Coturnix japonica: one gene and its partners. The main gene of each other region encodes a partner of the protein of the gene in region 2 in a complex. Links are inferred from orthologs where the notes say so. Each region holds a gene or a part of one and is shown on either strand. Other genes may lie near its edges. The genes, in order: DNTTIP1, CIR1, HDAC3, SAP30 and NKAP.

What was found.
Region 1: CIR1 (region 2) and DNTTIP1 share a complex: the UniProt entries of both Homo sapiens proteins name them as parts of the histone deacetylase complex. The link is inferred for Coturnix japonica from reciprocal best matches to the Homo sapiens genes CIRSR and DNTTIP1.
Region 3: CIR1 (region 2) and HDAC3 share a complex: the UniProt entries of both Homo sapiens proteins name them as parts of the notch corepressor complex. The link is inferred for Coturnix japonica from reciprocal best matches to the Homo sapiens genes CIRSR and HDAC3.
Region 4: CIR1 (region 2) and SAP30 share a complex: the UniProt entries of both Homo sapiens proteins name them as parts of the histone deacetylase complex. The link is inferred for Coturnix japonica from reciprocal best matches to the Homo sapiens genes CIRSR and SAP30.
Region 5: CIR1 (region 2) and NKAP share a complex: the UniProt entries of both Homo sapiens proteins name them as parts of the notch corepressor complex. The link is inferred for Coturnix japonica from reciprocal best matches to the Homo sapiens genes CIRSR and NKAP.

What each region holds. Positions count from the first base shown.
Region 1 is NC_029535.1:9,476,911-9,483,306, reverse strand, and holds DNTTIP1 (deoxynucleotidyltransferase terminal-interacting protein 1), read right to left. Parts: upstream 4,211-6,396; 5' UTR 4,148-4,210; coding exon 4,061-4,147; intron 3,980-4,060; coding exon 3,909-3,979; intron 3,786-3,908; coding exon 3,689-3,785; intron 3,562-3,688; coding exon 3,463-3,561; intron 3,204-3,462; coding exon 3,135-3,203; intron 2,804-3,134; coding exon 2,747-2,803; intron 2,510-2,746; coding exon 2,448-2,509; intron 2,032-2,447; coding exon 1,986-2,031; intron 1,554-1,985; coding exon 1,495-1,553; intron 1,306-1,494; coding exon 1,245-1,305; intron 856-1,244; coding exon 784-855; intron 514-783; coding exon 458-513; intron 337-457; coding exon 123-336; 3' UTR 101-122; downstream 1-100. Other genes in the region: aspartate and glycine-rich protein-like, read left to right, coding at 5,802-5,874. UniProt on the Homo sapiens protein: Increases DNTT terminal deoxynucleotidyltransferase activity (in vitro). Also acts as a transcriptional regulator, binding to the consensus sequence 5'-GNTGCATG-3' following an AT-tract.
Region 2 is NC_029522.1:15,082,082-15,088,034, reverse strand, and holds part of CIR1 (corepressor interacting with RBPJ 1), read right to left. Parts: intron 1,745-5,953; coding exon 1,638-1,744; intron 1-1,637. UniProt on the Homo sapiens protein: May modulate splice site selection during alternative splicing of pre-mRNAs. Regulates transcription and acts as corepressor for RBPJ. Recruits RBPJ to the Sin3-histone deacetylase complex (HDAC). Required for RBPJ-mediated repression of transcription.
Region 3 is NC_029528.1:14,745,142-14,749,748, reverse strand, and holds the end of HDAC3 (histone deacetylase 3), read right to left. Parts: intron 4,504-4,607; coding exon 4,439-4,503; intron 4,127-4,438; coding exon 4,037-4,126; intron 3,915-4,036; coding exon 3,856-3,914; intron 3,452-3,855; coding exon 3,372-3,451; intron 2,988-3,371; coding exon 2,830-2,987; intron 2,656-2,829; coding exon 2,586-2,655; 3' UTR 1,456-2,585; downstream 1-1,455. UniProt on the Homo sapiens protein: Histone deacetylase that catalyzes the deacetylation of lysine residues on the N-terminal part of the core histones (H2A, H2B, H3 and H4), and some other non-histone substrates.
Region 4 is NC_029519.1:38,527,998-38,534,472, reverse strand, and holds the start of SAP30 (histone deacetylase complex subunit SAP30), read right to left. Parts: upstream 3,706-6,475; 5' UTR 3,380-3,705; coding exon 3,083-3,379; intron 2,384-3,082; coding exon 2,261-2,383; intron 1-2,260. UniProt on the Homo sapiens protein: Involved in the functional recruitment of the Sin3-histone deacetylase complex (HDAC) to a specific subset of N-CoR corepressor complexes. Capable of transcription repression by N-CoR.
Region 5 is NC_029519.1:15,369,817-15,376,396, reverse strand, and holds the start of NKAP (NF-kappa-B-activating protein), read right to left. Parts: upstream 3,640-6,580; 5' UTR 3,625-3,639; coding exon 3,371-3,624; intron 3,111-3,370; coding exon 3,030-3,110; intron 2,572-3,029; coding exon 2,498-2,571; intron 2,305-2,497; coding exon 2,185-2,304; intron 2,060-2,184; coding exon 2,014-2,059; intron 1,637-2,013; coding exon 1,521-1,636; intron 1,379-1,520; coding exon 1,303-1,378; intron 817-1,302; coding exon 667-816; intron 43-666; coding exon 1-42. Other genes in the region: ZBTB33 (transcriptional regulator Kaiso), read left to right, coding at 3,834-3,861, 6,208-6,580. UniProt on the Homo sapiens protein: Acts as a transcriptional repressor. Plays a role as a transcriptional corepressor of the Notch-mediated signaling required for T-cell development. Also involved in the TNF and IL-1 induced NF-kappa-B activation.

The DNA of each region.
Region 1 (6,396 bases), on a different chromosome or scaffold from region 2:
GAGGCGGGACGGCGCATGCGCAGAAGATCCCTGCTCCCCCTCCCACCCCGGAGCGTGAGCCCTTAAAGGGGCCGCGCCCCAAATCCCCACCAGGCGTGGAAACGGGTGCGAAGCGGCGGCTTTTATTGCGGGGCCGGGGCCGGGTGTGAGGGCTCGGGGTGTTCGGGGTGTCCAACGGGCGGACCCTCAGGAAAGGCCTCGGGGTGGATCTCGGGGGGCGGCGGCGGCGGGTCCCCCCCGTTGCGAAGCGTCTCCATGTACTTCTGCATCTTCTCCGTCATCCAGGCAGGCGGGACGAAGGGCTTCAGCTCCTCCAGCCGCAGGTCCACACAGTCCCTAAGGGAGAATGGGCTGAGTGCGGGCCGAGGGGTCCCGGGGGCAGGCCGGGCCTCTATGGGGTCCCCGGTATAGGGAGCCATCCAGGTGACCCCCCCGTGTGCACAGCCCGGGGTCTCACCTGTAGTCGTCAGTGGCCGCCAAGTCGCGGATGTCCTCCTCCAGCAGGAGATAGGCCTGCAGCAGGGCGAGACACGCGCTGTGCTTCTGCTGGGGCCCGCGGTGCCCACGGGGCAGCTCTGCCCCCTGTCCCTGCAGTGCTGCCTCTCGTTCCTGCCCAACCCCAGGAGCAGCAAACACCTCTCGGCCCAGCCCTGCTCTGCCTGTCCTCCTCGTGGCCCTGCCCCACACGCTGCCTGGCCTCTCTGCTCCTCCGCCCCTGTCCATCCTGAGCAGGTTTCCGCACAGTTCTTGGGCTGTCGTGGGCACGAGCCCGGCCGTACTCACCATCTTGCCCCCAGTGGCCCTCAGGTGCTGCTGCTCTGCCAGCCATTGCTTATCCTGCGGGTCGGCTGCGTACTGCAATAAAGCAGCAAGGACCTGGCTGAACACGGGACGCAGACCTCCCACCTGGACCACCCTCCTGCGGGGCACAGCCCGTTCCAGTGCTCTGCTGCCAGCACCTCACCCCCACAGCACGGTGCTGGGGGCTCCCAGAGGGAGGGCTTAGCCCTGCCTGCTCTGCTCTCAAATAAAACCCTGACTCTGGGCAAAACCAGCACCTGAGAGGCTGTGCTACCATTAACGTGTTTCAGTGTGCTGGCCAGGTTGTGTGTACGTGCTCTAAGACAACAAATGGGGCGTGGGGAGGAAAAGCCAAGCGAGTCAAAGCGCACACACCCAGTTCCCATCACAAACTGCTTCTGAACAAACCCCAAAGGAGGAGGCATCCTGCTGTGGTATCTGACCTTAAAGAGGTGGGGATGCTTGATGTAGAGTCGCCCTCTTGTTCCTCCCATCCCGAGAGCTCTGAAAAAGGAACACAAGGGGGTGTTACACTGGGACAGAGGGGCCCTGCAGCAGCACGGGGCACCTCCTCTCCTCCCCAGGCCCCAGCCCTTCCTACTGCTTTCGAGGCAGAGAAGTGAAGTGACGGGAGGAGTCTTACGGGCTCCTGCCTGGGAGACACCACCCTCCATCAACAGGGCCATTCCTTACTTGTTTGCTCGAGATCCCAGCACAAAGGTTGTGGTTTCAGTCAGTCGGGATGGATCCCACTACAGAGCAATTGGAAAAGGGGCAACATTAGAAATGAAGCTGGTGCCAGCCAATGCTCCACGAGCCTCAGCTCTCTGACGGGGAACCTAAGAACTGATTTGGGAGGGAGGGAGGTAGCCACAAACCTCTGGATTGCCACAGAGGAAGGAAACTGCACCACCTTGGGCTGATCTAAGCTGTTTCCCTTGTAGGAAACGCTTTGTGGGATCCTCCTGGCTACCACTAAGGCTCTCCCCATGTCTCCTAACAGCTGCACCACACCACAGAGCTACAGTGCCTGGAGGAAGCAAGCAAAGGCTTCCAGGCACTGTAGAGACTCAGCAGAGTAGGGCACAACCTAGGTCTGTTCTGTGCTGCCGCTGCAGGCAGGGCTCTGCTAGCGGAAGCGAAGGGAGGAGAGGGTGAGCCCAGCAGCATCAGCCAGCCAATACCTTTGGTCCATCCCTTCTCACAGGTTCAGAGACTTTGAGCTTCCACCTGAAGGGAAGGAAAGTGAAATAAGAACAGGTCCTAGAAAGATCAATGCAGACAGACACCACAAGCTCCCAGCGGCAGGAATCTGAGTTTGAGCCTTTCCAGATCCACCCTCTCACACCTTCTCTGAAGCCCCATCTCTGCTGTGTTCCCTGTTAGCAGCTGTGTCACACACAGCTCACTGAATCATCCACCTGGTTCTGCACATCCTTTGGCCCTGTTTAAAACAGTTCCCTGGAAGGCTTTGCCTCCTGTGACTCAACCTCAGCCAAAACTCTCTTGCCCTTTGCCATCCCCCCCTACACCTCTCTTTTGTGCAGGGGGAAGGACACTGCAGGTTTTGGTGCCCCTTACTTCAGGCAGTTTTGTTTCCCGCTGCCCCCCCAAAGCACGGGCAGCAGCTTGAGGCCCATACTCACGCAGACATGCCTGAGACCCCACGATCGTTTGACAGGCTCTGTCCTGGAGGCCGTCCCTTTCTCTGCATGGAAGAAATCCTTCAGTCATTCAACTGTGCACATAGAAAGGACCCTTTTGATTATCTGTTCCATCCTACAGAAGCAGCTCTTTCTACCACAAGCACAACAACAGCATGAGAACAAGCACCTCTGAGCCTTCACAAAAACCATTCATACTTGCACATGCTCATACTGTGGTAACAGGAGCAAGGAACAGATCTCCCAAAACATAAAATCCCTCATGTGGAAAACCCTCCTACCTTTTTGGGAAGGGGGCTTCCTCGACGATTCAATTCCTCATCCATCTGTCGGGCACGCTGGAAGAGGAATGGTGGGAGGATGGAGACAAACCCTTCTCCCATCCCAGCCAGGCAGGGCCCCAAGCACACAGCCTGCAGCTCTCATTTGCTGACTTAAGGCAGAGAGCACAAGGGCACAGACAAACTCTGCAGGCAGCCCATAGCAGTGCAAAGCACTCAGATGCTGCACCTGGGGTCTGCACTGGTCTGTAAGTTACTTTCCCCACAAGACAAACATTTCCCAGCTCCACCTCCTCACTTGCACAGCTAGTAGATAATTCCAACCCCGTCATTCTATTCCTCCCAGCTCTTACAAATCATTTAATCCTCCATGAACAACAACTTTTACCTTTGGTCCCATCTGCTCGTGGGGCAACCTGGACACAACTTTTTTGCCATCTGAGAACAGCAGCTTGGCCTGTAGAAAGAGAAGGAAGGTCACCTATTCTGGGTGGAAAGGGGGACTACCAGCAACAACCCCTGCTTCACCCTGTGATGAGAAGATCCATCTTCAAAGGCACCTGTGCTGATGGGAAAGCCCCAGACCATGTGAAACATAAAGGCCACATCTAAAGACCAAACTCTTTATTGACATCTGGCCACTACAGACTAAAGATTTGGGTCTATCTGCCCCCAGGTCCCATCCCAGAAATAGTCTCACGTGTGTTTGTACCCACCTGCTCCAGGCAGCTCCGACACGTCTCCTGGATCAGCTGCTCTGGATCCACGTCCTCCCCAACGTTGTCTCGCACGTTGAGTGCTGCCTTCTGGAAGAACTGGGGGAGGAGCAGCATGATGTCAGCAGCCACGTAAACTCCATCCAGGGTGCAGCACCCAGCTGCCCTCACACAGTGTGCAGGGCTGGGTCCTCTGAGATGCCGTGGCTGCTCCCTGTCCACTCACCTTCATGTACTTATTGAACACAGCCCGGATCTCCTCGTTAATGCTGGGCTGCAGCACGGCTCGCAGCAGGTCCATGGACACGATCGGGTCGGTGAAGCTGTGTGAGCACATGGAGTCAGTCCCGGTGCAGGCACTATCCCGGTGCCCCCATTCCCTCCCTTTAGGCCCATCCCAGCCCCGCTCCGGTTCATCCCTCCCCGCTGTCCGGTCCCTCCGGTACCTGGTTGTCATCTGTGACCGCCGGCCGCGCCGCTGCACCTGCCGATGCTTGATCATGATGTTCCACGGGCTCTGCGGGACACAACCGTCAGCCCCGAGCCCGCCTCCCTCCCGTCCTCCCTCTCCACCTCCTCCTCCTCCCTCCCCCCTCACCGTTCCTCCCGGCTGCTCCTCGCCTCCTCCCGGTCCCTCCTCTCCCGGAGGCCCCGGCTGCTGCTCGGCGTCACGGGCGGCGCCCATCGCGCTCCGGGCCCGCGGCGCCGCTTCCGGAAGCACCGGGTTCAATACGTCATCGGAACGCGACACGCGTGGCGCGACGGAAGTGGCAGCGGCTTCCGGCGGGTGGGTCCGGCGTGGCGATCCCTGCCCGGTGCCCGGTGATCCCTGCCCGCTTCCTGCCCCGCCTGGCCGCCATCCCCCGCCCCGTGCTGCCCCGCCGTGGGGCTGTGAGGAGCCGGGACCTGTGGGATTCAGCTTACCGGAAAGCTCATTGCTGTACGCAGACATGGCTGTAATACATTTAACTTCTTAATTCTCTGTGTTATGACCGATGTTTGGATGCACGGAGCTGTATCGGTGCTGTAATGACGGTGCTGTGCCCAAGGGGGCCGGGGCTGCAGCAGGGCAGGATGGCATTGCCTTTGTAGCTGCACGGCAGTGCCCTGGCAGCTCCCATTAGCTCATAACTGTGCTGTGCTGCCCCTTAGGCCGTGCCCTGAGTCACTGCCACCGGCTGGATTCACCCCGTGCCTTTGTCATTCTCGAGGCAGATAGGAAGCAGATAGTAATCTGTGGCTAAAGAGTAATGGAGATAATTGCACTGTTATCATCACCGTATCACACCTCTCCTGTGGGGTGTTCGGAACACAACGTCAGTGCCACCTGCTGCGAGCGCACCGCTGGGTACCGCTGTCTGCTCTTGTGCTGGGCAGAGACCCACGAGTGGCAGCACCGACACTGTGCTGAGCTGCCCCTCCTGCTGGGGCTTGGAGGGCTCCGGACAGCACAGTAGGTGGCAGGGAACTGTGGCACGAGGGAGCTCTGCTCACCATGGTCACAGAGGTGACACCATCGAGCTGAGATGTGGGGCACAGGGACTGCAGCGGATAGGGGCGGTTCACAAGGGAAATAGCTCCAGAACTGAGTCATGGCCACGAGGAGTGGAAGAAACCTGTACTTCGAGCTCATTTCTTGCAGTAAGCCTCCTTCCCACGCAGGTTTGGTGGCATGCAGGCCCTGCGCCTTCCCACTGCTGAACACATGGCCCCAGTGCTGCCCATGTGTGGCCTTTGCCACCATTTGGACGAAGCTTTCTGAAGCAGTTTTGCCTTCTGAGCTTTCACACAGAGTGACCTGCACATGCTGACAGTGGTAGAGATGCTCCTGGTGCAGAGGAGAGACATAAACATGGTGGCACACTGAATTCTTTGTTCACTCTCAATGCAAACACAGGGCAGGGGCTGGCAGCATGGAGCTGAGCTGTAATACCTGCCCTGGGCAGCTCTCCTCCACTCAGTGCTGCGGCACTCCGTGTTCTGTCTGCCAGGAGACATTTATTCCTGCTGGTTTTAAAGCATAACAAGCTACAGCATTGACATTCAACCCTGCACAGGTGGAGCTGAGCTCCTCCGGGGCAATGGAGGGGGGGAAATCTTGCTCTGCAATCTGGGAAGGTGCCCCTGGGGGTGAACGAGGAGCTCTGATGTTACCAGTGCCCATTAAGGGTTTATGGGCCGAGAATCGGGCTGGCCGCAGCCCGGTGTTCCGGTGTCTCCTCCTGCCCTGCTGCTGCGGGTGTCCCACGGGGCACGCAGGACGTGGGAGGTGCCCGGGGCCGCCTCTCTGCTGTAGCTTAAATCCCGTCTGGGCGCCGTGCGGGCAGGGTGCTGGCACCATGCGGGGGGGTGCTTGGCTCCTGCTGGGGCTGCTGGCCCTCGGTGTCCCGCTGCACGCCGCGCCCGCTGCAGGTGAGCACGGCCCCGCGGTGGGTGAGGTGCGCTGTGCGCTGTGCGGGTGGCTCTGCTTTGGTTTTATATCCCAGCACTTTCTGCCAGAGCTGCGACCCTCGCGAGCTCTAGCCCTGCTTAAGGCTCCTAACCTTTGGCTTCTGCGAAACGTTAAATGTCGTGCGAGTCCGGTTCAGAGCGCTCCAGCTGCAGAAGCTTCTCTTGCTTTCTGTTATTTCCTTCTGACGCTGCTTTTTCTGGTGCTGTTGGCTGGGGCCGGGGCTCCCCGTTCGCCGAGCGCTGGAGGATGCAGCCCCGCTCTGCCCGGATGGGGCTGGTGCCGGGGGGTCTTTGCGTGGAGGCTGAACTCCGCTGGGGACGGAGCCTGCGGTGGCACCGGCACTGAGCCATAGTGCCGGGGAGCTGCTTCCTTCACCCCCACCTGGGCTGTGTGCGGCTCCAGCCAGGCAACCCCTGCACGGCTCTCAGCCTGGGAGTTCATTTGCAAGAAGAGAAATTCCCATGAAAGAATCGTGGCAGTGT
Region 2 (5,953 bases):
TCAAACCCGGAGTAATTTAAGCAAATTACTTTTCTGTCTCAGTTTTGTCATTAGGAAAATGGGTATTAACATATCTACCTTACTGTTGTGCTATTAGCGCTTAAATGCTCATACAGTGTTCTAGCAATGCAAAATACAGTAATCATACAATCTGCATACAGTATTGCAATCAACACAGCATAGCTACTTTATGACCCTCAGATCTTCAAATTATGTACATCTGGTACACTACAGTGCTCCACCGCAATGGTTTTTATTTCAGCCACACTTAAGAGGGGAAATAAAGATTAAAAAGCTCTTCCAAAAAATAAAATAAAATAAAGAAGAAGGAAAAAAACCAACCCAAAACCAAGAAATATCTCACCTAACGTAAGGCTAAAGTACTGGTATCACCTTGCTCCAATTAACCATACATTACAAAGGCTGCTCCAGAAATACTGCCTCCTATTTTATTATGTTGGCCCATGATGTCAAAGGCAGATGTTGGTGGTGTGGCAGTAGAGGCTGAACCTTCCCACCAACAGTCCATTATATGTTGCTGCCTTGTGACAGATGGCAGCAGAGGGGCAGTCTGACAGAATGGGGCCTAACATGGAAGTGTGCATTGAGCAAAGGTGTGTCACTGAACCCCTCCATACATAAAAAAACTGCATCTTATAACATTCACCGATGCTTGCTCAATGTTTATGGAGATCAAACAGCAGATGTGAGCACAGTGAGCTGGTGGGTGGTGTGTTTCAGCAGTGATGACAGCAACATGAAAGATATGTCATGTTCCAGATGGCCATGCACAGCTGTCACACCACAAAATGAAGAGCATCTCAATCAGTTCATCTGTGTGAACCAGCTAATGGTGGTGACCATGTTGAAAAACAGTGTTTTGTAGCTGAGAATTTGCTTTTTAAAATAGGGTTACCGTGCTCTTCGTATTTGTTGTTGTTTCAATGGAAATAAATAGCAAGCATTACTTTTGGAGCATCCTACATACATCCAATTGTGAAGACAGAAGGAATTACTGATTGACTGCGGTGTTTCAAGACCAGCTGAGGGCTGTTGTCTGTCTCTAGTTGAAACTTGATGTCATGGCATCTTGACTATCCTCCCATAGGTTATCACATAGCAGCTCGCTCGAGTAACGTGTGCAAATTATTCACTTTACATTATTATTATCAAATTGCCTCTATTTTAAATATATCTTATGCAGTCTAAGTAATGACAATTAAATATTTTCTCCCTCAGAAATAACAGACATAACAATATTCAGTTAAGCAAGAACATCTTTGGCTATAGCAGCCCTGGTAACACTTGGGCAAACATTCATGAGGAGGCCACCATTGCGCCACATCTAAGTGCCAAAACCCACAGCCACTCCTTTATGAAAAATCTAATTTCTAGCCACCCAAAGGAGGTATTTAATTTTTTACAGATAGATTTAAAATAAAAAAAAGGTAACTTATGATTCATGGTTGTGACTAAAACAGAGCTGGAAAACACAGTAAGTTTCTGGAGATTTTCCACTGGTGCAGCTATTCAGCTTTCCTATGGATATGCATATTGGAAAACATTAAGTAGCAATTCACAAGCAATCACATTTAGATTTATAGACATTTTCAGCTTACTGGTAAAAAGATCATTACCTGTGATGGATCATTTGCGGTCAAGTTTCTCCCCAGTACATTTTGTTTCAGTGCAAACCCACTGTTTCTCATCTCCGCTATTAGCTCCGAGGGGTGCATTGATGGCCCTGTTCACAAAAATCACAGTTTGAATGTATCATTTATATCTCTCTACCTTTTTTGGACTCCACAGTAGGAATTCAGTTGAAGCTTTGTTAAGTAAAATCACAGCTAAATCAACTCAATAATCTTCTGCTGAGCAAATAATCAGATATGATTTTCTAAAACAGCAGTCTGGAGATTCAGAATAGAAAATAATTGCATTTTTCTTTAAGTACAAGGGGATTCTCTTATGTAACTTTGTCATGTTGAAAACAATATATTTAGGTAAGTGTATTTCTGCTATAGCACAAAAAGCACAGAAAACCTAAAGAAAAAACATAAAACAAGACTTTTAAGAGCCTCTTTCTCCCCTAACACAAGGGGAAAACACGTTGCTACTATGCCACTAATAAGGTGCTTTTCATAATTCTTCACACATTTTGGAACTCAAACATAGAAAGTAACCATCATCAGAAACATGGTACGCAGATAGAAAATAAATGCATGGAAAAATCAGTTACGTCCTTCCTCATTCTAGGGCCCTCCAGACATGCTGGGTCTCTGCACTGTTACTCTAAGTCTACTCACAGCTCTCAGCTCCAAAAGCGTGCAGTGCCTCACATTACTGTAGGTGCTTGGGATTAGGCACAGCAGCTTTGTCTGAACCACACTGGCCTTGCTGTAACTTACATACCCCACACCTGGCTCTTTGGCTTTAACTGAACGCTATGATTATCAATATATCACATCATTCCCTGAACAGGCATTTTCTCTTTTCCTGTATAGCACACTATTCACAGAAACAAACAGGCTGATACATTAAGGAAGAATGAAGAAGAGAAAACTTAGGAAATGTTTCAGGATCTCTTGCATTTTTTCCACATCAAAAGCCAATCACGAAAGCACAACGTTACTGGTTTTGGTGTATTTCTGCCCTGCTGATTGCAGTTGTGCTGTAAAGCATTGACCAGCACAAGCAAAGAGGTGGCCTGCTAGAGTGCCTGCTCCCACCAGGATCAGCACAGCCACACACATAACAGACATGCTTAAAAGGAACGCAAACAAGGCTAAAGCAAATGTACAGAAGCCTTGCTCCCATATTTATTAATGGCATCAAGGAGATGCATTTGTAGCTCCAACTGCAATGGTTCAGACACAACACAGTACTACGTAACAAGGACAGCTGACATCACTGTTACTCCTGTCTGGTGGACATGGACAAGTTACACCAAACAAACAAACAAGACCTTAAGATTAAAGCGATTTATGAATTCAGTTGTTTCTAATTTGGCCTCCATCAAATAGAATACCTTGCTATTTTTAAGTAGCAATTCCTCAATCTGCCAAGCTTATTTTCTTGAATTTACCTTTTCATTTTTCACAGTTTTTATCTTTTTCACAGCCTTAAGAAATACTGTTTTCAAGCAAATATTTCTCCCTGCTTCTTACTTCTCAGAGTTTTTAATACCTTCACCCTCTCTTATGTTTCATTTAAGGTAGGTTTTAAGGCTTGGTTACCTCCGGGTTGGGACATTAAACCTGAAAACTCAAACCACTCAATGAAGTGTGGAAAGAAGGATTTTAGTCTCCACAAAGTACAACCCAAGCGCAACCTTAGTTTGACAGCTATTGGTGCACCTCTATAATATTCATGCAATTAAATACACAGTAGAGCTGTAAGTAGAATTTTTCTGAAGCCCACGTGAGCATCCATTATGCTGGATTTCACAAGGATATCATGCGAAGACTTCTACAACATATTGCCAGTTTGTTTCTATAACAAAGAGCTCTCCAATTTCTCACTGCACTTTACTGAGATCAATTTAACAGAATCAATTCTGCTTCTATTAAACAACCAGGGGGCAATATAATTCTGGATTTCAATTACTGACCGCCCAGCTTACAGCAGGCTCTCTTACCCCACATTATTACCCCCGCTCTCAGCCCAGAAACAAGAGCTACCTATAGCCAAAACTGTCATTTTCCATTCTGTCTGTACTTTTCACAAAGCCACAAATGCAAAGAGCGCGTGTAATGCTTTGTTGTTGCCAGAATGTTTCCTCTAATGAGCATGGGCAAAGGATTCCTCCTTGTGAGAACAATACTAGCTGTAACACGCCATCCAGCAGACCGCCATTAAAATGTCTAAAGCACATTTTTCAAATTACCCAATATTAGCGAACAGGGCATTAAAAACCTTTTTTCATAACAACTGTGATTAAATACCACTTTTTCTACAAGGGTTTCAGTGGCAGTAAGGACAGACCATAATACTGTGATTGCCACTATCACCAAGATAGCACTTTTCAGTCTCTCTGCTTGTGTTACATACCCTCGACAGCGTCAGCTCAACTTCCTGATAAAAGCTTTCCCTACTGTCACCAGTACAGATAAACAAACCCATTTATCCTTTGCAATCAATGAAGTTCCTATCTAGATTTTTATTACAGAATACATATGAAAAGCAAAGAGGTAAGAAGCTGTAACGCTTTAACCATCATTCCAACCTGTGACGGGGGAAAATCACCCTAGCCAGTACATAACTGCTGTCTGAGGACAGCATAGCTGCATGCTACAGTCTCCAAACAGGAATATAAAGGAAACAAAAAATGCCCAGTTCTGTTCTGTCTGTAGGCAGAGTACCATAGACCTGCATACACCAGCAAGTTTGCAAACAGCTCTTTCACCTTAAATAAGTGTTGTAAAACCACACTGCTGGTTGCCTTAGCAAATGATCACAAGAAGGGTGAGTATAGGCTGAAATCAGAATGTGACTTTGCACGGTGGCAGGGAGTACCATTTAGACACAAGGCTTTTTGAGTTTTGCTTTTAAAAGACAACCTAACTTCAAAATTATGAGACAGGTTTGTCAATAAGATACCCACATACTTTTTGTGCTCTCCATGCAGTTTTGTAGGTTCTTTTTCAGGTGGCTTAAAAGGAAATTTAACAAAAATGGGGAAGAACTACAGGCTGAGCCTAATCACGCCATATCTTCTGTCAAGTTTCACCGCAGTTGTGGCAGAGATAAGAGTAGACACTTCTCATTTATCTAAAGGACAAAGAGCTATTATCATAATTATATGATCGTGACCCTGGTAGTGAAGAACCCAGCAAGTTTATGCAGCCTCCACTAATTCAGAACTGATCATTTTTCACTGATAATTTTTCCATCTCTTTCGGGGATGACTACATTCAGACCATATTTACACTTCAAAGCAACTGCTGCAGTTGGCATTGAGAGAAACCAATGAATACAAAACCTCTGGCTTTTAATTAGCTTTTCTTCAGAGCGTCTGCAGTTTAAGTGAATGTAACACATTGCCGTGCTTTTGTCACAGGCCATTTCAGAGAATCTTCAATTTTTAAGAAATAAAAAACATTTAAATCTGATATCAAACTGCTACAGGAATCCATATTTATTACTCAAATGCCATTCACACCAAATACAGAGGCTTCTGAAGCGTAAATGGAGGATTATTCTGAAACGAGATAGTTCTTGAACTACGTGAAGGTTCTGTTAGGGCTCCTACTGCTCACAATCAAAGGTCTCAGCTGCAGACCGCAAAGGAAAGTTTCATACATGCTGCATTTCTGCAGATGGCCATTTATACAAATGGTCGCAGTTAACATATTTAAATACCTCTCCTTTGTTAATACAGATTCAAGAGAACACTTAAATCCATTCCTGCTTTCCCAATACAAGGCACTTTTTATCTGTGGGAAAACAAAATGGTACTGCATCTCTTGCTGGAAAACTTGCAGGGAGATTCTACTCATAATACAGACATAGATCTCATTTTTCTTGTCTTAGCATGGCTGACAATTTCAATGATCTCTAAGGCAAAGGATTTCTCACCCCAAAGAAGCTGAAGATCAGTGACAGACAAGCACAGTGTGTGTGGGGACACTCAGGTAACACAAAGAGGTGGCACAAGCTTTAGGAGGTGCTGATGAGCCTTCAGAAGTCTGCATTTATGCTAACACACCAAGAGCGTTCTCATCTTGGTAGAAGGTCAGACTCTAGGTACACGTACGTGTCACTCAGTCACATTTTGACTTTTATTTGCCTCAATTTTCCATAAATATTTAAATCATTTTGCAGAATCGCTTCTTCACTGGACAGAATATATATGGAGCTGGTTGACTGCAACAGCAGTTCACAACAGAGAATGATGCCCAGCACTACCCAGCCTAGGTTTAACAGGCCAAGAACATCAGATTGGATTGATTTA
Region 3 (4,607 bases), on a different chromosome or scaffold from region 2:
GCTCCAGTGCAACCTGCTGGCAGAGCACTGGGAACCCCCTCTGCCAGGCTCTGCAGGTGCTGTACACGGTGCTGGCACTACCAGGGTGCCTAAAATCCACACCTAGGGTTGGAAAGTTACCCTGATCAGCATGAATTAGGGCTGCAAACTCCATTCTGCAGAGGGAGCACAGAGCTTCCATTCAAACCAAGAGATCCATGTGCCACCTGGCGTCCAACAGCAGCTCTGCACTGTGACCCGAATTGCTGAAACACCGGTATTTAAACGAGTGGAAGTGATAGAGGACCCACCCAACCCAAACTGCTCTGGGATTCTATCACAGCCCTGTGTCCTGCTGGGGGTGCAGCAGATGGGGAATGTGCTTTTAGGGGTGCAGGGTGGCTGTGGCTGGGCAGCACTCACACAGTGCAGCGCAGGGAGAGCAGCCACAGCCATCCTGATAACTGGGCTGGAAACTCATTGGTGACATTTCCAGGTCTATTTCTGAAGGTGTGACAGTGTATGTAGGACAGAGCGCTCTGATGCTCTCTGAAAGATGAGGTATGAGCTGCTCCTGGCAGCAGCAGGTCTCAAGGTGACACCAGCTACCGTTCTGCCCTTACAATGTACATCATAGGATCATAGAATAACAGAATGGTTGGGTAGGAGGGGACCTTACAGCCCCCAGTGCCATCCCTGCTGTTAGTTGGGTGCCCCCCACCAGCTCAGACCGACCGGAGCCCACCCATGGCTACAGCCCAGAGCACAGAGCACGGGACAGCAGAGGAAAGGAGACAAAACACAGAGCTTTCAGAAACACACACAAGGGTCAGTGGTCTGGGAAGGTTCAGATCCTCTTCCCTATCGATCCCCACTTATTTCAATATAACAGAGCAACCTGGAAGCTCAGCATCCACATTCAAAGTGGAAAGGAAAAACGGGGATAGAATAGATAACACTGAGGTAGGGAAATAGCAGCCCTATGGAGGATTGTGGTGGATGTGGGACATTGCTCTTAGCACAGTGCAGTGCATCCATCCCAACCTGACTCACTCTCCAAGCAGAGAGCAGACTTCACTATGGACTATTGAACTGGTGCCATCAAAAGCCTAAAAAGGGTGATGGTGGTGAGAGTCTGACAAGGTGCAGAGCAGTGTTTAAATGCAGGTCTCACCTTGGTCCAGCTTGGTCTGTATAACCATCTCTGTTGGAGACCAAGGATGTGCCTGAAGAACACAGGAGGAGCAGCCTCTCATGGAGTGTGCAATGTAAAGAATCTACACTTAAAACAAGGTATTTACATGGACTCTGCAGCAATCTGGTCAGCTCTCCCTGTTCCAGAGGTATAAGCAGGAGCAGCCATAAACCCAGGACCCAGGGCTCCCCTCACTGCACTCCAGCTCACAATATGCAGCAGTGTACACTTGAAGGAAGACAGGAGTCAAAAAAGGCACAAGCATTAAACAGACAAACAGATCAGGTAAGAAAAATACTGCCTCTTCATTTAATGTTTAAAGACATCAGTAAACAAACAGAACAGTACGTACAGTAAGAGGCTGAACCCCTCCCCTCTCCCCATACAGCACCCTCCAAACCACGAGAGGACCAGGTGACAGTGCAGGAGAAGGAGCAGCAAAGTCTGGAACCTGGGAAACCTCTGCTGTGTGAGGACAAAACAGGACCCATAGGAAGCAGCCTCCCTCACCCGTGAGCAGTGAAATCTCTGGGGCACAGTCAGGAGGGGGGGGGTGGTTTTTGCTCCCAGTGAACAGCCCAAGTTTCTAGCAAACACACCTGTGAACTTGGAAAACACAGCTTGGAAGCTACGTTAGAGCTGTGAGACACACTGCGTGCTGATCTTGGCAACCAAATCGCTGTTTCACAGTGATTTTAACCTTTCAAAGAATTAAAAAGGAAAAAAACAGAGTTAGGTCCAACTTGGCAAAGTGTTGTGTTACCCATTTGCAAGTGCAAAGCTGAGGACAGGGAAAACGAACAAGACTACACTGCATACATTCTTACACCCTGCTCCAACCATGCTCCTGATCCCTACCCCAGAACTGGCCTTGTCTTCTTGAATGGTTTTCCTTGAGCTGTGGAGCAGCAGATGGGTAGAAAGGATATGAAGAAGCAAAGTCTCGGCGCAGGCTTCAAGAGGACAAACGAGTGGGTACTTGAGCAGGGGGCTGGGGATGGTGGGATGTGGCAGGTGTGATGCTGACGAGGCAGAGGTTTTAGGCACAGACACTTCAGCTCCCACCTTTCTGGCAGGAGCCTGCACGGGAGCTGAAGAAGCTGACTGAGTGGGTTCAGAAGGCAGCTGTGTGGCTGCCAGCCAGTCCATGGCATGGGTCCGAGTGCTGCTTCAATTTCCATTTCCCAGATGGTGACGGGTGGAACCGTGATGCATGGTGGAAAGTAAGGAACGTTTCACTGCTCTCTGCCTTGCAGGGAGCAGAAGTCTGCGGTGGTGCTGTTTTCTGCTGCCACCACATGCAGTCGAATATGAAAGGAGGGCTCACTGGCTCCCATGCAGCCCAGTTAACCACACCAGCGTCCAACATGGCAACCCCCCATGGTCCAGAGTTCAAAGTCCATTAGATTCCTCAGATCTCAACATCACTCTCTTTGTCATTATCATGGTCACCATCATAAAACTCGTTGGCAGCTTCAGGCCTGGGGTTGGAAAAAGACAATATCAGTGAGGAGAGCCCTGACAGAGAAAAATGCCTACAAAAAGGTCAGAAAATGCCCTGCACCCACACACCACATGGACTGTTTTACATTTACAGAGAGGAACCTGCAGGGCCAGAAAGGAAAGCTCATCTCACCAGAACATCAGAGCTGTACCTGCTGTAGTTTTCCTCAGAGCCTCTTTCCTCTGGGTCAGGTTCATCTGTGCGATCGTAGCTCAGCAAGTCAGAAGGGACATCATGGATCTGCACGCTGGGAGCATGGTTCAACATCTTCAGATTCTCAAATATTGTCTGCCTGATCTGATCCAAGTACTGTACAGAAAAACACAGAGAGGGATCGTCACCAGCAGATCTGATGCTTCACTCAGAGCCACAACAGTCAGCTCTACTGCCTGCCTACATCATCTGTGTGGTGGCCATGAGAAATGCCTTTGTGCAGAAAGCTATTCAGCAGAGCAGAAGAGATGGGAAAGTTAATTCAATCACTGAGGCTCCAGCACTCAGAAAAAAGTAGGACAATCCAGCAGAGTTCAGAAATATTATAGACCCTTTGAGACTTTCTGTTGTGCCAGAGCAAATGTATTTGCTTTTCTCTATCAGCTTTCTGCAGCCACAATTCCTAGCCTGGGCTCCATCTCATTTTGCAGGATAGAGCATCTACCACAAGGTTCTGGGGCCAGACATGCAGGCACTCACCTGCCTGGAGTTCTGATTTTCTATCCTTGTACTGACGTCAGGATGAAGAGTGAAATCTGGAGCGAAGTATTCAAAGTACTCTGTGAAAGCATGAGCAGGATTTAAAGCAGGAGGGCAAAGGAGTCAGTCAGCAGATGCAGAGCTCTGTAGGGAAGCAGAGCTCACCCTCCCACCTTGCTAGAGGTAACCAGACCCTATAAACCACAGTGATGTACAACTCTGCAACTGCAAAAAATTACATGAAATGAGAGTCAGCAGAAGTAATGCTCGAGTCATTGAAGTGATCCAAACAAAATGCTGAGCAGACACATCCTTACTGCATCAGATAAGCCTACAAAGGGGAGATGGAAGGGAATCAGGACTAAGTAAGGTTAAAAAGTGTTGTCTCTTTGGCCCTGGTCAACACAGAATGAAGTGCTAAGTCTTATGCTGATACAACTGCTTTAGCTCAACTAATAAGGAAAACAAGGGAACCTGAACTTACCACTATATGGGAGCTCCTCACTAATTGCTTCATCTACAAGCAACGATGTTTCGTAAGTCCTGAAAAAAAACCAAAAACCAGATTAAGATGAGCTCAGTCCAGAGAAAGCAACAGGGTGCATGTAGGGACAAAGCCCACAGCAAATGCCTCATCAAATATACAACAGGCCCATAAGACTCACCAGCACCGTGCCACATTGCGGACTGTGTAACCGCCTCCTCCCAGCACCAGTAAGGGGATGTTGAAACTCTTTACGTACTCCACACACTCCCTAGAAACCCCAAAGAAACACATCAGAGCTGCTACCTGCAGCACACATTCACATGCCCAAAGTTTCACTGTGTGTTCATTCACCACCACGGCTGGTGTGACAAACATGGGGCTCAGGGCTCCTACTCAGGTCCTGAACCATGTGCTACTCTGTGAACTACTGCTTTTCTACAAAGCCCCATTATGAGAGTCTCTGTCACACAGCAGTTTAAAGCAAAGTTGGTGCAGCTGGAAGGCCAAAGTCAAAGCTCAGGTCTTACAATGCAGGACCACCTGCAGTCCTTTTGCTGTGTCCCAACCCTGCTGTACTTACCCATGTCCTCTTATACTGAGGTTAAAGCAGCCCAAACGGTCACAACCCAGAGAATCCGCACCACACTGGGGAAGAGAAAAAGAACAATTGAATTTTGGCTAGATAGGCATTGATTTCCAGACACACATTGGCATCCCTACCCCTCTGCCAACTGCATTCAGCAAAGGTG
Region 4 (6,475 bases), on a different chromosome or scaffold from region 2:
AGAAAGGGGGAAGAAAGCAACCTAATGTAATTGATAAGGTCTCCCTCGTCATCCTGGAAACTTGCACATACACAACCACACACTGTCAGCTCAGTAGAGCTCGTTTTGACAGAGAACAAAACTTTACTCCACACCTTCCAGGAGAAAGAAAAACATTCCATTGCAGTTTCAGAGCAGTTTATTGTTACTAAGTACGGCTCTTCCTCCTGTTAGCAGCAGACAATATTTAGAACTTACAGTACTATAATCGTCTCTGTTTTTTTCTTTCATTGTTGTCCTTCCCCCCCCCCCCCATTTTCAGCATGATGACACAAAGCACAGTAACAAAACTCATAACATCATAACATCTATGAAGATGCTGATTCAAAAGGTAGGCTCTGCATTTCAATTTCAGCCATGAAGTCTTTTGCAGTCTACAGCAGCATAGCTGCACCATGAGACAGCATGAGTTAGAACCAAGACAAAGTCTAGAACATGAAGGTTTTTGGCTTGAGGTGGGAGAGGAAAAAAAAAAGAGCTGGTCTTGGTGTCCAAGAATATCCCTGCTACAATAAGCACAACAGAGGAGTTATGTACATAGGCATAGTTGCCCAAAACTATTTTTCAGTGTGAGCTGACAGTTCACAGCATTGCACAAGCTCCTCTCCGGGATATAAATACACTGCCTCAACCCAGTACTCTCTCAGTTTTTAATCCCATGAACTCAGATCAACAGCCGCTTCTCCCAGCAACAGCTTACCCTCTCACCTTCTTGACAGCGTAAAACAAAGTTTAATCAGAAGACTGAGGAGGAAAGGAAGCTAAGAAAGCAGGTTGAACAAGAAATTCCATTAGGTCAGTTGCAATTACGGCACTGTTCTCCAAACTTCCTGCATTAAAGACTGGTTAAAGCATTAACTTCTATTTTAAAGTCATCCAGCAGCCTCAGCTATGCAATATTTAAGGCAACAACAGTGCCAGTGCACTCCTGGTGACCCGGTCAGACTTGATACAACCCTGCCTTACGTGTTAAGAGGATGGCATGCCCTCGTACTCAAGACAGCAGCACTGTGGAAGTCACTGCAAATCACTCCTAACATCTACTTCTGGAAATGGGAATGCCCTACAGGTGGTCAGCAGTAAACTGGATGGCAGTTCAAAAATCAAGGGGCCAGTGGGCATCTATAGCACACCAACACCACACAGGAACTGCATGCTGAAACTCTCCAGAACTACCTACTTCCCTGCACCACTACCACTGAAAATACATTTCCTTTCTTCTGTTCTAGGGATATCCATCAGTTGTGTCATGCTTTATTATTCCTGTCTGAGCAAATAAACAGGCAAAAGCTGCAGTTGCCACTGTGCCAGACAGCTACCAAAAGCCACAAAGAACAGCAGGTTTAGAGAGCTTTCAGAGATGCCATCCAATGTTTTTAGCTGACAAAAACCACAGCCCAGCATCAAACTACTTCCAATCTCCTAAAATCCTCTTATAGTCAAAGCCTTCAGGCTTGAGCCGTGTGCCTCCAGGCAGAGATTCCTGCATGAAGTTTCATCACTGACATTGCTGACGCTGACCTTAAGGATAAGTTCACAATCCTCAAGCACCTTCTGACAAACACTGGATAAATCTCTTGGTTGAGGCCGGGTAGGCTGTGCTCAACGATTAACACACAAACTGTAACAGAAATAATCCAGCACACATGTAGGAAGAAGAAAGCTTTAAGTGCATTCACATTATACTATGAAAAAAGTTTGAAAGTAGTTCACTTCCAAAACGGGTGGTGTTTCACTGGCCTACAATAAGGAAGGCAAGCAGAAATGCCTTCTTATTTCAGCTCCTCCTCAGCAAAACTGCCTCAGCATCTCTATCCCCAAGAAGGACTAAAACCAGTGAGCTCCCTCACTGAGAAACTTCCAGCTACACTAAGTGGTAACTACAGGCACCATCTGCAACGTGCTTCACATGGAAGGAAAGGATTGGAGGGATGTGACAGAGAAGCAGTTATAGCCCAAGTCCGGTGTGTCCTGTCAACCTTTACAAAGACTGATTTTCATAGCAAAACAACTTCTAGCAGGCTCCTGGAGCCAAAACTGTAAGGAAAGTTCAAAACAGCAGCTGCCTGAGATTCTGCACATCTAATAGAGAAAATACACCCTGGAATCCAGTTTGCTTTTGTCATATTAAAAGCCAAGCACATCAGGAGCCATCCCCAAAAGCAGGCACGGCTGAAGCAGGAACAGACTTAACGTAACTATTAGAAAAACCGTTGGCTACCTCTGGAGTGTCGATGTCTTGCACTGGTGAGTCACCATCGTCATCACTGCCTTTTCTCTTCCTTCTATTTCTCACACTCTGAATTAAGTTTTTGTGGAAGTCGCAGATATAAAGGTGTCTCGCCTACAAGAGTAAGACCGCATCTTTCAATCAAACCCGTGCAAGCTCCTCCCAGCCTGGCAGCACAGAGGCATCTACAGAGACATTCCTTAGGCAGCCTCGCTCACGCGGAGCGAGGTGGGGAAGCCCCTCTGCCTGATAGCGCTGCACGGAGGCATTGTTATGTTACCTCCACCGACTCGGCGGGAGGACGGGGGGAAGCGGCTACCGGTTGACTGGCAGAGAACGTCGCGCAGCGGGGACAAGCGCGCACACAACCCTCCCTCCAACCGCTCGCAGCAACTCGGGGATCGGCAAACAAACACGCACGAACGGAAGGCGGGCAGCCTCCGGAACATCCCGCGGGAGGCAAAATGCCACCTCCTCCCCATCCGCACGGCTTTACCTCCGCAAGGTCAAGCGACACGCGGGCCGCTCCCCTCATTCCCCAGCTCTCCTGCACAGGGCCGCACCGTGCGGCCGCGCCGAGCCCTCCCCACACGGAGCCCCGCGCCCACGGCCGCCGGGTGGGGCACCGACAGCGCCGGGCTCCAGGCGGGACGGGGCGGCGGCAGCGCTGCGGGAAAGGAGGGACTGGGAAACGGCGCTTCCCCGCCGCCGGCAAAGACAAAAAAAAAAAACAACCCGCAAACAAAAGAAAACACGCCAAAAAAGAACTTTAAAAGCCGCCCCCGAGCCGCTGCCCGCTGCCGTAAGACTTACGCTCTTGTCCAGCTCGATCTTCACCTTCTTCTGCGAGATGCTCTTCTGGATCCTCTTGCTGAAGCTGGCGTTGCCGGCGGCGCGGCCGCAGCGCTCTCCCTCCTCCCGCAGGCAGCACAGCTGCCCGGCCCCGGGGCCGCCCGCCCCGGCCGCGCCCGCGGCTCCCACGGCCAGCCCCGGGGGCGCCGACCCCGCCGGCACCTCCGCTCCGGAGCCCGCACCGCTCACCGCGCCCGCGGCGGCGACGGCGGGGTCGGCCCCGCGTTGGGGCAGCTCCTCGGGGGCGAAACCGTTCATGCCCCGCGTCGGGCCGGCGGGAAGCCCCGCGAGCGCCGCCACCGCTTCCCCCCGGCGAGGGGACTCGGGCCCGGAGGGTTCTACGGCCGCGCTCAGCCCGGACCGCGAGGGAACACGCGCGGCGCGACGGGCGCCCTCGCTCCGAGCCCCGCGGCTACCGGCGCGCTGGCGGCGCCCCACGGGCCGCCCCGCTTCCTCCTTCCCCCTCTGTCATGTGGAGACTCTTCAGCTGTTTCCTATGCAACAACAGCAACCTGCCCGCCGCCCCGCCCCTCAGCACTGCGCCTGCTCAAGGCCGAGCCGCGTTGCGCTCCGGGAAACGCAGTTCGTCCCGCCGCTCTGCGCTGCGGGCGGCGAGGCCGGGAAACTACGGCTCCCGAGCTGCGCGGCGGACGGGGCGCTCCGCTCCGCACACACCGCAGCTTGTTGCAGCTCGGTGCCGCGGCTCCGCCCGCCCCCCGCCGGCATGTGGCGGTGTCGGCCCGGGCCGGCTGGTAGGACGCCGCCTTCGCTCCTCCCCGTCGGCGCGGCCGTTGGGATTTGAAATGCGGCCGTGCCGCTACCGGGGGCGGGAAGTGGATTCTGAGGCTCCGCGTTGTGTCCGGATCAAACGCTGCCTGTATTGAGATATTTCGAGCTCTAAGAAAGCTACACGAGAGCCGCGTTAACGCACAGCCTGTAATAGCTCAGCCGCTGTGGGGCCGCCTCTGACCTATTTTCGTCCGAGTGCGTTCAGAGCGCAAAAAGGCGGCTTTGCGCTCCTTTTTGAGCCCTTAAATTCGCTAACGGGCCCGAGCGCCGTGAGGTAACCGCGGAAATATGCGGCCGTATCCATTACTGTGCGAGTGTGGAATCAGGAGAGTAACCGGGAGGTCAGCGAGCGATTTGAGGAGACGCAGATCCCGTGTAAGCCCAACAACTGCCTGAGCCAGGGAGTGCGATTATGCTGCAGTTTGGGTTTGTGCTGCAGATGGCTTTTTAATCCGGTTGCGTAACCTGGCATTAGAGAACGAGGGTAGGTCCCGCTTACGCTCCCAGCAGTTGCGACTGAAGGATCCAGCGAGTGGAGTTAGGCTGAGCGTACAGTGACAGACAGCAGTTATGCATGAGGGCACGTTTTGTGATTAAAGGGAGAAATTGGGTTAAGAGCTGGAAAAAATACCGAACCCTCCTTTGTTACAGCCCAGCTGGGTTCAGTTCCACACCCTGCCACTGTGTCAGCTCAGAAAAGGGACGTTTAACTCGCTGCTCAAGTTCCTTGTGATTCGACCCTTTCAAAGATTATAATGATGTTAATAATAACAAACAAAGCCACACAACAGTAGGAGACCTTACCTAAAGAAGATATAGGAAGAAGTGTGAGTTCCAGGAAGTTTCCAGCAGAAATCAGGGTCACAAGTAGCAATTTCTACCAGCTTACACTGTGTCTTTTGTGATCCGTTTCATTTCATCAGATGGTTTTGACCTTATGCTGAGCATAAAATACACAGTCTGTTATGTTTGCTGTGGTCTGTTAAAATGTAGAGACTACTATGTCTCAGATATGTTCCTGATCCTCTTTATACAGTTCGTGAGCAGATAAAAGCCTGATTTCAGCCGTGCTCGCCAATATGTTAATTCCTAAGCTGAATTTCAATAGAGCAGTATCATAGTTTCATGGTTAGATCATGATAAGGCTGCAGCAGGGCTGAGAAACACAGTTCTGCTTCTTCTGTAAGCTGCTGACTTTCACACCTGTGCCCTGTCTTTCTTTGTGCCTGTAAAAGCATTTCTAAAGCTCTGTGGCAAACTGGATCTGGTTACAACTAGACCAGGGAAAAGAAAATCAGTTATGTTAAACCCACATCTGCTTTACTGCTCAGTTATATGATCATGTCCTAGCAGAGAGGGAGCTCTGATGGAGGGCAGGACTGTGTGAATGATTCAGGAACAGGGAAGGAACATCTCCTTTGGTAGGAATGCCTAAAAGCTACTTTGTCTTGAAAAGAATGCCCAGATTCACACCTTATGGGCCCTGAACTTCCTGGCACCAAGGAGGACCAGGTACAGGTGGAAGCTGAGCAGCTTACGTGCTTTGAGATGCTGTATGTCCCACTCCCACTCCTGTTCACTTTTGACTGGTTTGTATTTGAGAGGGAAGAATGATAACTGGACACATCACCTTGAATAGATTGCGAGCACACTGTAAATGTGTTGCAAGTAACAGAATCACAGAATGACCCGGGTTGGAAGGGACCTCAAGGATCATGTAGTTCCAACCCCCCTGCCTGGCAGGGCCACCAAACATACACCTTTACTAGATCAGGTTGCCCAGGGCCCCGTCCAACCTGGCCTTAAATACCTCCAAGAACGGTGAATCCACTGCTTCCATGGACAGCCTCTTCCAGTGCTTAAGCACTCTCCTAGTGAAGAACTTCCCCCTAACATCCAACCTAAATCTTCCCTCTTTTAACTTAAAACCATTTCCCTGTGTCCTGCTATTGTCAGCCCTTTTGAAGAGTTTACTCCCCTCATGGGTGTAGGTTCCCTTCAGGTACTGAAAGGCTGCAATGAGGTCACCCCGCAGCCTTGTCTTCTCCAGGCTGAACAAGCCCAACTCCCTCAGCGTGTCTTCACAGGGGAGGTGCTCCAGTCCCCTGATCATCTTCCTGTCCCTCCTCTGGACCCTTTCCAAAATCTCCATGTCTTTCTTGTCCTGACACAGTACTCCACACCTGGACACAGTACTCCAGATGGGGCCTCACAAGAGCTGAGTAAAGGAAATATGGTTCATGACTGCATACACACCTTGGCATGATAAGGTTCACTTGGGGCTTACTACTCCCTTCCCCATTAGGTATCATTCATCTGAAGTCTAAGAGAATTTTAGTGCGCTTGCTTATGTTCAGCACCTCAAATTATCCTGTTAGCAAATACAGCACTAAGGAAAATGACTGGTGCAATTTTTAACAGTAAATGAGCATTTTATTTGTTTCAGACTGTAACTGTTCCAATTAAAAACAGATTTCCTTAATTTGCTGTAGATATTGTACAACGTCCCGTGATGTTTTTCATGGAAGAGCAACCAAATCAACAGGAAATCACTGTCTGTGTGTC
Region 5 (6,580 bases), on a different chromosome or scaffold from region 2:
TGGTTCTCTTTACGCAGACGCACAGCTTCCATTCGACGATGTCTGTGGAAGAAAACATTGTATACATAAGCACGGGCAGAAGGACGTAACGCCCCGTGACAGCTTCCATCCATTAAGTGACCTGAAGGTTTTGAAGGGCTAATAAACAAAGACACCTAAACCAGGGAACCCAAACTGCAAAGAAACCTCCAAGGAACGAGCATAGCTGAGCTGACATCTGAGGGTGTCTGCTCTCAGGCAGTGAGCAGGAAGTCCCTCACGCTCCCAAAATAGCTTGCCAAAATATAAATGAACCTCCTTTTGTACTGGTAGAAGAAGGTATGGTGAACCTCTCACATTAATTTGTCTCATACCAAAGAGCCAGCGCATAGCCTCTGCTGTCCAAACACACAACCCTTAGGGCCATTGGAGACAAGCATCTAATTTGAAATAAAGAGAATTTGAAGCATACTATCTGGAAATAATTTTGATTCTTCAGGAAAAAGTGACTTTAAGAAACTATGCATCTATATATAGCAGTAGAGTTCAGCATATGCCACTGAAAGCGTACAGAGCACGTGCTCTTCAGAGCTTTCAGCTACAGCCTGGGAACAGCTTTTCAGCAGGCCAACAAAGGAAGCAGCTTTGGAAAATGTTACTGAAATATTACCATCATAAGAAACATACCTGCTGCCGCTCATCACGTAACCGGAGCTCTCAAACGATGCAATTTCTTCACTGGTCAAGCCAATCTCACCTCTCCGAGGAATGCGTTTTCCTGCTTTTACATACTCTGCCATTGCTGCACCTTCACCCGGCAACAGGGCGTGCCCATAGCTAAAGAAACAGAGAGACAAACAGGAGGGATTTTAATCAGTCTCAACTAGAGTGAGCCTGAGCCAAACATCCAGCTCCCCCAGTCACTACCAGCTACATTTTAAGGACTTCCTTACTATTTCCCAAGTACGTTCCCATTTCATACTTACAGCTAATCTCAGCAAGAACATTTTAAGTAAGCAGTTTAATAAATTCTGGTTAACCAGTAATGAAGGCTGTATGAAGTCACAGCTCTGCAGAGCATTAGAGTAAAGGCACTTTACTGAAGTAAAAACCAATTAATTTTCTACGAACCCAGGCTAAAATGCGTAAAACAGACTTTTCTACTTAAACTCAGGTCAGAGTAAAGACTAGCACCACTACCACTTCTTAGTTTCTGGTACAGCATCCCTCTTGATATAAATCATATTATTTTAGGTCTTTCTGAGCAGAAATCTTTATGCTAGATTTACTTGACTCAATCAAGGTACCATTTAGAGTACTCACTTTAAAGGCCTATCATCTTGAGACGCATGTGTTTTGGGAGCTTCTGGTCCAATCAAGCTATCAGCTTCTGTATTTTCTGCAATGATCAAATAGTGAAGCAGATCAATACTGTGCCTCTTCTTTGTTATCAGAGCAGTCAACAAGGCAGCAAACACTTAAAAAAAAAAAAGCATGAAAAGAACACCAAGAAGTTTCAAGACAAATCTACGGGCACCTACTTGATCTCTCAATCCAGAGATCCTCCCCTTGAACTGTTCCATCATCAGAATCTTCACTGCTGGAATCACTGGATTCCTTCCGGCTCTTTTTATTTTTCTTTTTCTTGTACTTCTTCCTGCAATAACACCCAAGTTATCCACCAGCATTTAAGATAAAAAAACGTGCTAGGAGTCATACTCAAGTTATGAGTTTCTCAAGATACCTTCCACCAAGGACAGTCTGCATTTACATTGCTGTTTGATTGAAAACAACCGATAGTTAAACAAAGACAACACATCCACTGTTATGGCTTTCATACAGCGCTCGAAAGCGGCTCCCTGTGTTTCAAGGATCTCTCTGTGCTCTGGGATTCTGTACATTTGATGCCAGTCAAATTATGATTATCCACCTGCATTTACAGCTCTAATTACAGGAGCGCTCAGCTTCCCTCCGTTCCTGCTAAGACTGCGCTTAAAAGTAGATGCAATTATACTTCACAGCTTGGAAACTTACTTCCTGTGCTTCCTTTTCTTCCTTTTGCTTTTCTTTTTATCTTCATCTGAAAAACAAAAAACAAAAAAAAGGGAAGATTATGCATCATCAAAAAGCATACACTGTGAATTAGTTAATGCCTCCACCAGAACATCTCAATACACAGCTTGGACATCATTTGTTCTCCCTTACCACTGGAGCTCTGGTCGGACTCGGACTCGCTGTCACTGTCCTCAGAATGTTTTCTGTGTTTCCGTTTGGACGCCTTCCGTTTTCTCTTCTTTCGCTTCTTCTTCTTCTTCCTTTTTTCCTCTGGAATGTTTATAAAAGATAACATTAGAAAAAGATGAAGACTTAGTTCCGTGTATACATCTGGAGCATCCCAAAGCAACAGGGCCTATCACACTCACTTCAACCCAAGTCAGTGAACTTCCTGACAGCAACAACAGCAGTTTCTAGGTAGCGACTGGTTATCAAAATGAGCTGTATAAACAAAGCCAAATACCTTCCGAGCTGGAATCCGAAGAGCTGCTCTTGGATTTTGCCTCTTCGTCTTCTACTGGCGTGTGCTCATCAGAACTGAAGAAAAACAAGTTTGCTTTTTAAGATCTATTTTGTAGTATTTAGTAACTGAAGATCAGATGCACACATACACTGAAACACGTGCTTGTGGATTTTGAGCCACTACTTGCAACAGAGCAAACTGTGCAATGGCCAGCGTGCGAGACAGCAACTGTTTTCAGAACCACAGCAGAAAAGGCACCTATCACAGTATAGAATGTATCATAGAATGCCCTGGGTTGAAAAGGACCATAACAATCATCCAGTTTCAACCCCCTGCCATGGGAAATCATGTAATTGCGTCATGTCTTGAGTAACTGATGTGATGGGATTATCTGAATAACGTCTGTTTGCTTATGTTGGTTCAGATGCTTCTGACACAATGAATTGTGGCACCAGAGGACTCATGCGTTATTGTAAATTCCTCTAGAATTGATATCATAAAAAACAGAGTGAGAAGCAAAACTGTGCCTTACTCAGGGTCAGGAACCTTTGGCGAAAGCCCCCAGACTTCAGGTGCTCCCAGCTCTCCGATTCTCTCCCTCTCATTGAGTCTCCTGGAATGAAGCACACCGTTACTGGACGCTGACACGTCGCACCCAGCGAGCAGCTGCTTGCGGGCATGTCCCACTGCCCATAACAGCGTGAGAACGGGACTTCAATAACAACCTCAGCCCAACCCACGCCCGCAGGCCGAGCGGGCAGAGTCCAGCCCGGCACCCAGAGGCTCGTGCAGCGCCGGCGGCTCCCAGCCTCAAGCAGGGAGAGCCCGCAGACCCGCCCGTTGCCCGTTCCCCGTTCCCGCGTTGGTACTGGCCTCTGCCGCAGGATCTCCTCCTTCTCCTTCTCGTAGTACTCGGGCCAGGCCTTGCCGTGGTGGTGCCCGTGGTGCGCGGAGGCTCGAGTCCCGCCGGGGCTGCGCTCCCGGGATCGGGACCAGCTGCGGCTCCGCCGGTGGCAGCCGCGCCGCGATCCGTTACGGGACCGGGAGCGGGACCGGGAGCGGGAGCGGCGGCCGCGGCGCTCGGGGCTGGCGGCGGCCGGGCTGCGGGAGCGCGACACCGGCGCCATGATGGCGCGGCGGCATTTCCGGGCGGCCTGACGGCACTTCCGACGGCCGCCGGGCCGCGCTGCGCTGCTCGGACGGGGGCGGGAGGCGGCGGCGACGGGGCGCGGGGCGGAAGCGGGGCAGCCCCGCCCGCGGGGCGCAGTGCCCCACCGGCCGTGCGGAAACACGGCGACACGGCGGCGGGGCCGCTCCTTTGTCACCGCCCGGCACCATGGAGGCGCGGGCACAGCCGCGGCCAGGTAAGGCGGCGCGGGCGGACGGCGCACCGGGAGCGGCCTGCAGCCGGGAGCGGCCGGGGGACGGCGGTGCGGGGCCGGGTGAGCACCGAGCGAGGGGGAGCGCTCGCCGGGCCGCGATCCCCGGTGCCCGATGCCCGGTGCCGGCCGGCACATCAGCCCGCGCTGCTCTCGCGGCCATCCCGGCTCGGTCCGGCCCCGCCGCTGTCAGAGCGGCTGTCAGCGCAGCCCGGCCCCGCTCCCGCACACCGGCTGCCGCCCCAGGTTTCACGGGCCCGCTGCCGCCATGCTGCGGCTGTGGGAGCGCGGGGCACATACACGGCTCTTATTTACACGGTTCTTACTTACACGGCTCTTATTTACACGGCTGTTCTTTACACGGCTGTTATTTACACGGCTGTTTTTTACGCCTGCTGTGGGCAGGGTGATGTGGATGAGGCAGGTGGAAGCTGCAGTGCCTGTCACTCTGCCAGCTGAATCCGTACTGCCTCAAATGCTCGTTCCGTGCTTCCCATCTCGGGAGGATCCCGGAACGCAGCCCTGCCCCCTCCACCCGGCCCTGCATCCCCACACGGCACACAAGGTTACGACACCGACAGGCAGAGCTGGTTGCTGCTAACCCACATTGCTGGTGCTGGGCCCCGTCCCTGCAGCCATTAAAGGCACCCAGAGGTGCAGCCGGGGCTCTGCCATCGTGGGTGCAGCCCCAGCTCAACGTGGTGCCCAGCGCTGAGGCGGCTCCTTTTGGATCATTTCCATGCATCAAAATACAGTTGCTTTGTGTTCTTACCCACTGAACACCACCTCTTGTTGTGTGCTCTACACGTCCACATCTTAGAAAAACATGCTTCATTTAACTTGTCACTGTATACGTTTGTATGCTTGTTCAATCCCCAAACACTTTGGAGGCTGATCTGCAAGAGGCCTTGCAAGGCCGAATGGTAAAGCAGTTCACAGCTTGGTTTTGGGAACCCCAGAGCACTGCTCCTTCCAAACCAGTGCTTGTCTTTAGCTGTAGGTTCTCCTGTGAGTTCCTGCAAAGTCTGTAGGATCAAACAGATCAGGAACCGCAGATAAAACGTGCCATGAGCTCGGGTTCTCTGTGAGAACACTGCAGAGCACTCACACACACTGTGTCCAGGAGACTGCCCGGTGTGTGCCCGCACATGGCTGTCGCACACGCTCCAATGCAGGGTACGGGGTGGGCAGAGCCGGGCAGCGGGAGCGCAGCGTCAATGCCGGACGTGGCCGCCCGAGGCCTCGATGGAGGCGGCATCACCCGCGGCCCACGCGCTCCCGTCGGCAGCCGAAGCCGCTCGGCTCGTGGCTCCGAATGCAGCCGAGCGCGCTCGGGCGGAGCGCCGTGCCGCCGTCCCGCGGGGCCGGGCAGCGCGTGGCAGCGCCTCCTGCCGGCCGCGGTCAGGGGGCGGCGCCCGAGCCCGACGAGCGGCGGCTGCGGCGGGGCCGGTGCCCGTGAGCGCGGTGCAGGGCGGCGGGTGCCAGGTAACGCGGGCCCCGGTTCCGCTCCTCGAGCCGCGGCTCCCCCTCGTCCGCCCTGCCCGCCTGGCCTCGAGCGGGAAGCGGCGGCGGCGGGTACGGCCTGGCCGCGCGGCGGGGCCCCGTCGGCTCCGGGCAGGCCGCGCCCCGGGTCCGCCGGCCGTTATCGCGGCACGACACCGGCCGGCCGGCGGCTGGGACACCTGGCCGTGCCGCGGGGGGTCGGGGCCGGGCGCTCGGCAGCCGGCGGCCCGTCCTGCGCCGTGCGGGGCGCCGGGAGCGGGCACCTCCCGCTCGTGCCTGCGTGCGGCCTTTGAGGCGCCGAGGTCAGGCGCTGCCCGGGCCGGTTCGGCTCCGCGCTGCCGCCGCGCCGCGGCCTCCTACGGGAATGGGCTGCGGGAGCGGGAGCCGAATGAATGGATGCTCGCGGAGCTGAAGGGCCGGCGGCGTTGCCTGCCACATCGGGGGTGGTTGTCTGCTCTGCTTGTGGCCCTTAGAGAGCTGGGTGCTCCCGAGCTTCTAACCGTATGGCATATTTTCATAATGCAGCGTCTGTTAACGTTCAGCCTTTCAGAGAAGCCCATCTTGCTTCTCATATTTACCTCACTTGCCGCTGAATCGAAAGCAGGTTTTTCCCCTGCTATGAACAGAGTATATTTATGACTGCACGTGCCTCGTGTGGACAAACACTACATCTGCACAGTGCTGTGACACATGAGCTTATGAATAATACCTCACGTGGAGATGTGTTATTTCAGAGGATGGAGTAAGCTGAAAAGGCAGAAATGCTGCCATACAGTTAAAGCTCTCAGTGTGTGGTTTTGCTTGATGCCTCTTGCTTTCTTTTTACAGGAATGGAGGGGGAAAACCTGATTTCCGCAACAGACACGCAGTACTCTAGTTCACTCCTTCAGTCTTTGAACGAACAACGTGGCCACGGGCTTTTCTGTGATGTTACTGTTATTGTGGAGGAACGGAAGTTTCGAGCTCACAGGAACATTCTTTCTGCCTCGAGCACTTATTTCCACCAGCTTTTGTCGGTGGCTGGGCCGGTAGTTGAATTGAGCTTTGTGAGAGCTGAGGTTTTTGCCGAAATACTTAATTATATATATAGTTCCAAAATAATCTCAGTTCGAGCTGACTTAATTGATGAATTGATTAAATCAGGGCAGCAGTTGGGTGTTAAATTCCTAGCTGATCTGTCTGTAGCTCCATCTGATGGAAG